Oryzias latipes: one gene and its partner. The main gene of each other region encodes a partner of the protein of the gene in region 2 in a complex. Links are inferred from orthologs where the notes say so. Each region holds a gene or a part of one and is shown on either strand. Other genes may lie near its edges.

Region 1 (4,540 bases), on a different chromosome or scaffold from region 2:
GTAAATGCACAAAGACACCAATGTAAATAAATGGAGCTTTGTAAAAACATCCCCACAAAGTAATATTTTTATTGATTGATTCGGTTTATTTCAAGCACTAATTTTAGACAATACAAGAAACAAATTCACACAGATTTATCAAACTCACTACGAAATGCACTGAGTTAGCAAACAAACAAAACAAAAGAAAAAACACTTAATTCACATTTGATTCATTAAATATGGTGAATATTAACTAGAGTCAGGTCAAGCTTGATTTCTTGCTGAGTGGTATGGGCAAACGGAGGCAAACTTTTATAATCCTACCCTGATATTTTGTTGCTGTATGGTGGAAATTTTGCTCAACGCAAGTGTAAACAACAAAACAACAAGCTTTACGGTGATCTATAGCAGTGTTTTTCAACCTTTTTTGAGCCACGGCACACTTTAACCTTGACAAAAATCCCGCGGCACACCAGCATCCAAAAAAATAGATAAATTAAAAAAAAAGAAAAAGCTCAGTCTGTATTGATCTACAGCCGGTCTGCAATCTCACATGCATTTTTATGATAATTGTTGCAGAAAACGCTGGAAGCTGCAGCTGTTTTTTCTAAAAGATGTATTAAAAATTAAGTCAAAAGATTCAAAAACTGTTTGATGTGTGTTCGTTGTTTTAAGACGTTGAGAGGAGAGACTCATTGTGCGCTAAGACAGTCACTTTACTGCATCATGGGAGATGTAGTACCCGTAATCCGCCGACCGCAGAAAGACCAGCGTATTTGAGCTTCATTGTTTTGTTCACTTGTTCCAGTATGATACCAGATTATGTGGAAAGCTACACCGCTAAAGACGAGCTTTAGCTGGTATTTTTGTTAGAACAGAGAGACTTTTTTGCGCTAAATCGAAATAAGGAAGTGAATACTTTAACCACGTCTGATTGGTCAGACTGATGACATGTGATTAAGAATGATTGGTGGAGACAGTTAAAGGGGCGGGACTTTTCCTCACACAGTTATAGCTGCAGCTAAATCGCGGTATCCCGTTATTCTTATCAAAATGTCTTTAATAGAATCATATAAACACAAAGAAAAAATAATGTTATGATATTTCATATTCTTAACTTCTCAGTGTTTTATCAGGGCCTGTTTGGATGAACAAAGAGCTGATTTCCTGGAGATGGTAATTGCTTTTAGATCAGTTAATGAGGGCAATTTCTCACGGCACACTTGACCATCTCCCACGGCACACTAGTGTGCCGCGGCACACTGGTTGAAAAACACTGATCTATAGGCTCCAGCTCATTTCAGTTCATTATGTTCACACTTAGATACACAAGTATCAAAGGATGTTGTATAAAACATATTTTTATACAATTAAATACACATGTGTATGCATTTCATTGTTGTTTTCCCATCGAATAATTTTCATATACAATACATTTTAAAAGTGAGTTTTATTTGAAATTTGGTATCGTTTTAGAATTATTTTTGGCTCCATTTGCTTTCCATACCCAGCCAGGTTACCGTACATTCCTTTGGCTGCACCTTCCATCCTGGGCGCGCGCGCTCCTGCCCTAGCGGAGGAGGCCTGAACCGCAGCTGTGAGCGCAGTTTCCTGTTGAGTTTCCCTGTTTCAGGGACAGGAACTCCCTGCTCTGCTTTGCTCCTCCGCCCATGGTAAGAACTCCGAGCAGGGAAAGAATTCTCCGGCCGACGACCGTGTAACCCCCTCTCCCGCCTCACCCGCGGCGACGGTGTTCAAAAAGCAGGGCGGTTGGGCTCGGCGGAAGGATCGGGCTTTGGGACTGTATGGCGGTGTAGTGGGCTCCGAGCGCGAGCACAGGTTTTCCCGGTGAAGCGACAAACTGCGGGTGAGTAGAAATGACTCACTTCGAAGTTGTGTGGATCTCCGACTACCTCGCCCAAGAGTAACAGAAAAGTTCTGCCACTCGATTTTCTGGGTTTATTTTTTCCTCTGCTCATATATGAAATTCCCTTTCTTACTCGGCCACCTAATTAAACCATCGAGGGGATAATTAGCTTACAGCTTGTTTCAAAGTAAAGCCGTTTTCCTGGCCCACAGGCCTGAGCTGGGAGGACTAATCTCAGGCCACGGCACGGAGCGGGGATCGGGCCAACATGTTGGAGGCAGGACTTGAACACATCAAAGCTTTTCCCGGTGTTTCGTTTTACGGTCTTAACTTTTTATGTTACGTTATTTAAAAATAAATAAAAGTAGTTGTAATTCGCCTGTCATGACGGCAACAGCAGAGTCGATTTAAACGTACTTCAATAACAATCCATGTTTGTAACAGCCAAAACGTTTGTGGTCAGGAATTTGACTTCATGTTGCCTTCACTGCCCATTTTGTAACGTAAACAACTGTTGGAAATCCAAGTATCACAATTTCAGCATATTGAGGTAGTTTTTATTTTTTTATTAATTCCAACTAAGATCAGAAACGCTGTGCTACAAGACTTTAGTTCCTTGGAATTTCTTACAATTCAAGGAATTCCGGATGGAATGACAAAAGAGGAAGACAGATAACATTTTTCCCTTCTATGTTTCAGTTTCTTCTTTTTAAGATCCCATAAAGCTAAAAACGGACAAAAGGGCTTTAGACTAACTTTTTGCACTGGTACGCCTCATTTGGTTTCTTAGGTGAGACTTTTCAACCGCATTACATTTAACAGTTAATGTTCCTGGGTCACCTTTATGTTTAAAACACTGGATAATGGACATTTGGTCTGTGCATTTATAATAGCATAAAAAATGTGTTTTTCTAACTTGTTTTTTAATGTTTCATCTCAATATGGTTCATACTAAATTATTAGCAAAAAGTTTCCCTTTTTTGTTGATTTTCTTTTTTAAAGTTCCCCTTTTCTATCTTCCTCCCATGTTCTTTGCACTGAAAATCTCATGAAGACAAACAGCAATTCATTCTTTGATCTCAGAGGATTAAGACAAATTCAGCATTTATTATATCATAAACTACATTTTCCAGATGTTCAAACTGCGTCTTAACAGCTTCATTCTCTTCTCCCTTTGTTTACAGTGTCCTCTCTTTGAGCTGTCAAAAACAGAAATATGCACAATGAAGTGGTAGTTATTTTAATAAAACCTGTCTGTCGTTCTCATCTAAACCTGGTTCCGTTTTTGTTAAAAGGTCGCACCTCAAAGTCCTGGACAGCACATGTCAACTATTTCATTGTATCATGCAGTGAACATCTATATAGTGTATAAAGTACAGCCACATAAGTTGATCCATAGGTTTGATTAGACTGCTTTGGTTCTTCTTGGCTCAAAGTTCAACTTTTTTGTTTTCCCAAACCCCGTAGGAAAGTTACACAGCGTCTGGTTTTTCTAGACACGTCTCCAAATTTGCCTGAAATTTCAAATTATGTTTGTTTAATTGCCTTGAAGTCAACGCAGACATTTTGGGCTAAACAGTATTCTAGTAGCCAATTCTGCGACTTAAAAGTGCGTCCATGATGTTCATTAGAAATACACAAACGTTGACAGACAGAATGTAAGAAAAGAATTTCGTGAATCACTTTGTATAATAAAAAAACCAAAAAACATTTTATAGCCTATAATGGTGCAAATAAAATGTATCTCCAGCTAGCAAACAAGAATTCTGTTCCCCACAAACCTGTTACTACTTCTTTAAAAAGCTGTTCAATTCTCCCTGTTACTTGTATGAATGGTACCTGTATGATCTGGTTAAATGGATCAAAGGCACCTGTCCACACCCTTAAACAATTGGACTGCAACATCTCCACCACGACCAAGACCAAAGAGCTGTCAAAGGACACTGGGGGCAAGATTGTAGACCCGAACAAAACTGGGATGAACCAATTTACAATAAGCAAACAGCTTGCTGAAAATAGATCAACTGTCGGAGCAATTGTTAGAAAATGGAAGAAATATAAGATCACTGACGTTCAACATCCGCCTGAGATGTTGGGACTTGTGGGTGACCTAACGAGACCTGGGACCACAGTAACTAAGGTTACTATAGTAACACAACATCACCATGGATTCAAATCCTGCAGTGCTCCAAAGAATTCAATCCGTTAGAGAAACTGTGGAGTGAGTTCATGTAGCCCAGCAACATCCTTAAAGCATCACAGCTCTTGAGAAGATCTGCATGGAATAATGGACCAAAATAGCAGTTACATTGTTTGGGAACCTGCTTGGAGACCTACAAGAAACCTTTGATCTTTGTCATTACATTGCAGTGCTCCAATACATGAATAAATATAAAATATAAAAAAATCCACTACAAATCAAACTTATCTTTTTAAGTGGGACAACTTGCAGAATTAGTGACGCATTTTAAATGCATCTTTGTTTTTAAAGGAAAACTGTTTTTCCAAGTGCATTTGCATTTGTCTGGTTAACAAAGTTAACATAGTGTGCCAAAAATGTGTTGTGTTGGAAATAGAAGCTGCTTTGCCGTCACTTTTTCTGTTTCATTTGCTGACATTGTCTTTGTTAAAGCTGGATGTCAATGGGACCCATAATTCAATGGGACCCATAATTCAGTGTTCCCCTTTTTC
Region 2 (3,822 bases):
AAATTAAAAAATTCACTTCAAATCCATGAAGTGGTTTGTTGCATATATGCACCAATAGGCGTTGAAGGGGTAAAAAGCAAGAAGTTAAACCTCTCATTTTAGCTTTTCTAACATCAGCAAAGTTTCCTCAGCAGTTCAAGGTAAGACGAGAGAGAAAAGCAGCACTCAGTAAAAAAAAATACAGACCAGGAAGTTGAAAAGAAGAAGTTATGTTTTTTACAAAATTACAGCTTCAAAAAAAAACAGCAGCCCAATTGTTTTAAAAGCATCTATTCCTGCGACCTGAAAACTGTCCTGATTTACTGCAGGATAAAGTCCAGTGCGTTTTAGAAAACAGCCTGTTGTTGTAGAAACAATTGATCTTTGTAGAGGCAGTACCGTAGTTCTTTCTCCAACCAAGTGAAACGTCAAGATTTCCACCTTTACAGGTGACATGACCTTTACCATTGCTCAATAGTTTGATCAAATTTTATTTTCAGAAACCAGCTACTTTCCTAAACACTGCTTTTGGATATGTTTTTCACATTATTTTATCATTCAAAAGCAGAATTATAATCTATAGTTTTTTTTAAAATAAAAAATAAGCAAGTTTGAATAATAAACATTAGTTAACTGCTAACTAACGCATTAAATAATAAACTTAGTAACGCAAATTAATGCATAAAAGTGGCTGTTTATACTATAATAATTAGCTCATTCTTAATTAGACACCAACTAATATTAATAAAGGGACCCTGATTATAAAGTGTTATAAAATGTCTAAGACAACATCTCACTCGTAGGTAATGTTTTTTTTTTAGATTTCAAATTTATAAACCATAATTTACTATTTTATACAGTTTTTGGCACCAAAAGAAAGTCACTAGAATCCTCAGATTCAAAAAATACATTTTCCAGCTTGATAAAATGATTCCATCCTTTAAACACATTCTACTTTAACATTTTAGTTCAACTCAAAGCCAAGCAACCTGTTAAAGACAATGACAGCTATAACAGCTTGTTATACTTTAAGATGGAGCTGATTATTACTGTCAAAATGAAATAAAAAATGTTTATTTTAACTTACAAGTTCATAATATGATTTTATTTCCGACTCACTTGAGCAATTAACTGGTGAGTCAAAGTGAAAGAAGATGAAGCTTCTTCCAAAATGAAAATAGCTTTATGTTGTTGAACAGGCACAACAACAAAGCAGCAACTTCCTTATGTGAGACTGCAAAGAACAAGATAAGCTAAACATTTTTAAAGTGCTTTAAACATAAAAAACTAATGGATTATTTGATTTTTTTTGCCTGAAAAGATTATGTAAAATGTAAAGGATTGAATCTGATTCGTTTTTGTTTTTTTGCCAAGCATTTGAGTGGTTTAGTGCAGAATAAACTGTATGAAAGTCACTCAGCAAACTTGCTAAGCCGACAACAAATGTGTTTAATTAGCATCACTTTTCCAAAGCTGTTACTACTAACCCCCACTGGCTCATCAGATGCGTCAAAATCTGTGAACGTGGACTGCACCTCCGGCAGATGGGTGCTCGCGACATGCTAGCAGAAACATCAAAATGCTAGCAGCATGTGTGGGCTTGCATGCATAGTGCAACAGTACTTACTCTATGTCAGGAGGTGGAGGAGGCAGGAAGTCATCAGGGATGGGGGAGCCGGGTTCATAAGCGGAGTTTGTGCTGAGTTCAAGGGCGTCAGAAGTGAAGCCCTCCCCTGATCCAATACTGCCGTTCAGTCCCTCGGAGGAGTTTCTTTAAGCAAACAAAAGCATGGATGGACTAAACAAATTGTTTTTTTTAAACCAAAACATGAAAATGAGGCTAAAAACTATAAAACAAGGAGAAAAAAGTGAATTTTGCACAACAACACGGCAGAACATTAAATGATCTTTTAAAATGTTTGCATAAATCAACTTGAATAATGTCTAGTTTTGGTATTAAAACAGTGTAACTTAGGTTTTCTTTGTTTAATACGGGCTACACGTTTTCCCTTTCATTGTATGATAACACGACACGATGGCAAATAATGTCAAAGACCAGACTCTGGATGTTTTTAGGTTTACAGCAGTAGACAGCCATCCCTACACTCAACCCCCTCCCCATAGTAACATTCCCAGACAGGACGTACCATCCCTATCACTATGTGCAGATGAGTTGATAAGAATGAGGAGAATGAAGTTTCTAACGTTTGCTTTGGATCTGTGTGTTCACTGTTTTTCTGTGCTGGTCCTTTTCAAAGACCAGACTCTGCTGATTTAGCCCGATCGTGTGCATCTTGACCTAAAAACCTTTTAGTAAGGTCAGTAGGTAAACCATGTTTTTTTTTTTTTTGTAAGACGGTTAGTGAGACTTCATAGTTCCTAGTACTTAGCTCATCTCTGTAGCGTCTTATTGCCGTTTGTTTGCTTCTTTTGTACTAAGCCTTAACATAAACATAAGTATTGATCTGTTTTGGGTTTTTTTCATAGTGTGACTTTAAAAGCACCGTAATCCTAGATTCACGAGCACTGGATCAATCTGATTTCACCATACTTACAGTTCATTCTTTGGAACTACAAACTCCTCCCCCATCTTGAGCCGCTCCCATTCCTCCTTCCTGGTCTTAATTTTTCTAGGATTCAGTGTCCGTTGGTTCAAATTGTCTTTTTTCTCCTTCTACTCAGAACAGAGAAGCAGAAAGACAAAGTGGAAACGGCGTGAGATCTGAATGTGTTGGGGTGTAAACTTGTGGGCGCGTTTGTGTGTCTCACTCTGTGCTTGCGCTTCTCCTTTATGATGTCCTTGGTGTCCTGCAGCATCTGCTCCTTCCACAGGTCAAAGAAGTAGGAGGGGTCAGTGTAAAACTTCAGGGGCTCTTTTCCATCATCTCTGTAGACAATCATTTATAATATAAGTCACACTTCACGCCATCTTGACAGTTCAAGGGGGCTTGACAGATCATCTATCGCATAAACACATTAAACTTCCCATTTAGGAGTAAAAAAGAATCCCTTTTTTTCACAAGTTTACACAAATAAAGTTAAAAAAAAATGTTAACACCTCACCAACACTAAATGATCTTACTGTCTGTTAAACAAATATCTTGAAATTCAGCAAATATTTTTAAACTCACCTGCAGGCATCAGACTCTAGTCAGTTTTACCTATTTTAGATTAAACACACTTCTGATAAAATGCTGCAAAACCTACATTAGGAGAACAAGGTTTGTTGTTTTAAACATTTTCCCACAAACTATCACTGATGGGGATTTGATGAATTTGTGAAGAAACAAAAATGTACATTTCATGCATTTGCTTTTCTTTTTGCACTCTCAACCAAAAGAAAATAGCAAACACACACACACACACACGCATCTCAAAAATATCAGATCCTGCAGAAGTGGCCTTTATATCAAGATTATGATTATTTCCTTGACTATTTCTGGTCTTCTGAATGCTCTTTGGCTTATTTTAAGTCTAAACTTCATGAAAATTTTGCTGCAGGATCAAAAAGAGGCGTAAACTGTGCAGGAATATAAAACAGATTTGTCACACGTGTGTTCTGCCGGTGCATGAGACTCCAGAGTGTTTCCTATTCCTTGTGCGTGCTGAGTGTGTCTGTGGCGGTCGTTGCAGTGAATCTGAATCAAGCTCTGATGCAACTGTGGCTGGCTGTTGCCTCCTACCGGTACTGGCTGAGCTGGTTGAGTGGGGGAGGAGGATTGCAGGTCAAGTAGGTGTCCTGTATGGGCACCGGCAGAGACGGCCTGATGAACAACTGCTGGTCCTGACTTCGATCACTGCGAAAAGCCTTACGAGTAGTGATGGCCTGTAGAGAGACTGAGA

Evidence for each region.
Region 1: wasf2 (region 2) and cytoplasmic FMR1-interacting protein 1 homolog share a complex: the UniProt entries of both Homo sapiens proteins name them as parts of the WAVE2 complex. The link is inferred for Oryzias latipes from reciprocal best matches to the Homo sapiens genes WASF2 and CYFIP1.

The regions. Positions count from the first base shown.
Region 1 is NC_019862.2:28,156,463-28,161,002, reverse strand, and holds the start of cytoplasmic FMR1-interacting protein 1 homolog, read left to right. Parts: upstream 1-1,470; 5' UTR 1,471-1,655; exon of another isoform or gene 1,656-1,849; intron 1,850-4,540. UniProt on the Homo sapiens protein: Component of the CYFIP1-EIF4E-FMR1 complex which binds to the mRNA cap and mediates translational repression. In the CYFIP1-EIF4E-FMR1 complex this subunit is an adapter between EIF4E and FMR1.
Region 2 is NC_019869.2:21,796,386-21,800,207, forward strand, and holds part of wasf2 (wiskott-Aldrich syndrome protein family member 2), read right to left. Parts: intron 3,817-3,822; coding exon 3,663-3,816; intron 2,867-3,662; coding exon 2,749-2,866; intron 2,654-2,748; coding exon 2,535-2,653; intron 1,751-2,534; coding exon 1,607-1,750; intron 1-1,606. UniProt on the Homo sapiens protein: Downstream effector molecule involved in the transmission of signals from tyrosine kinase receptors and small GTPases to the actin cytoskeleton. Promotes formation of actin filaments. Part of the WAVE complex that regulates lamellipodia formation.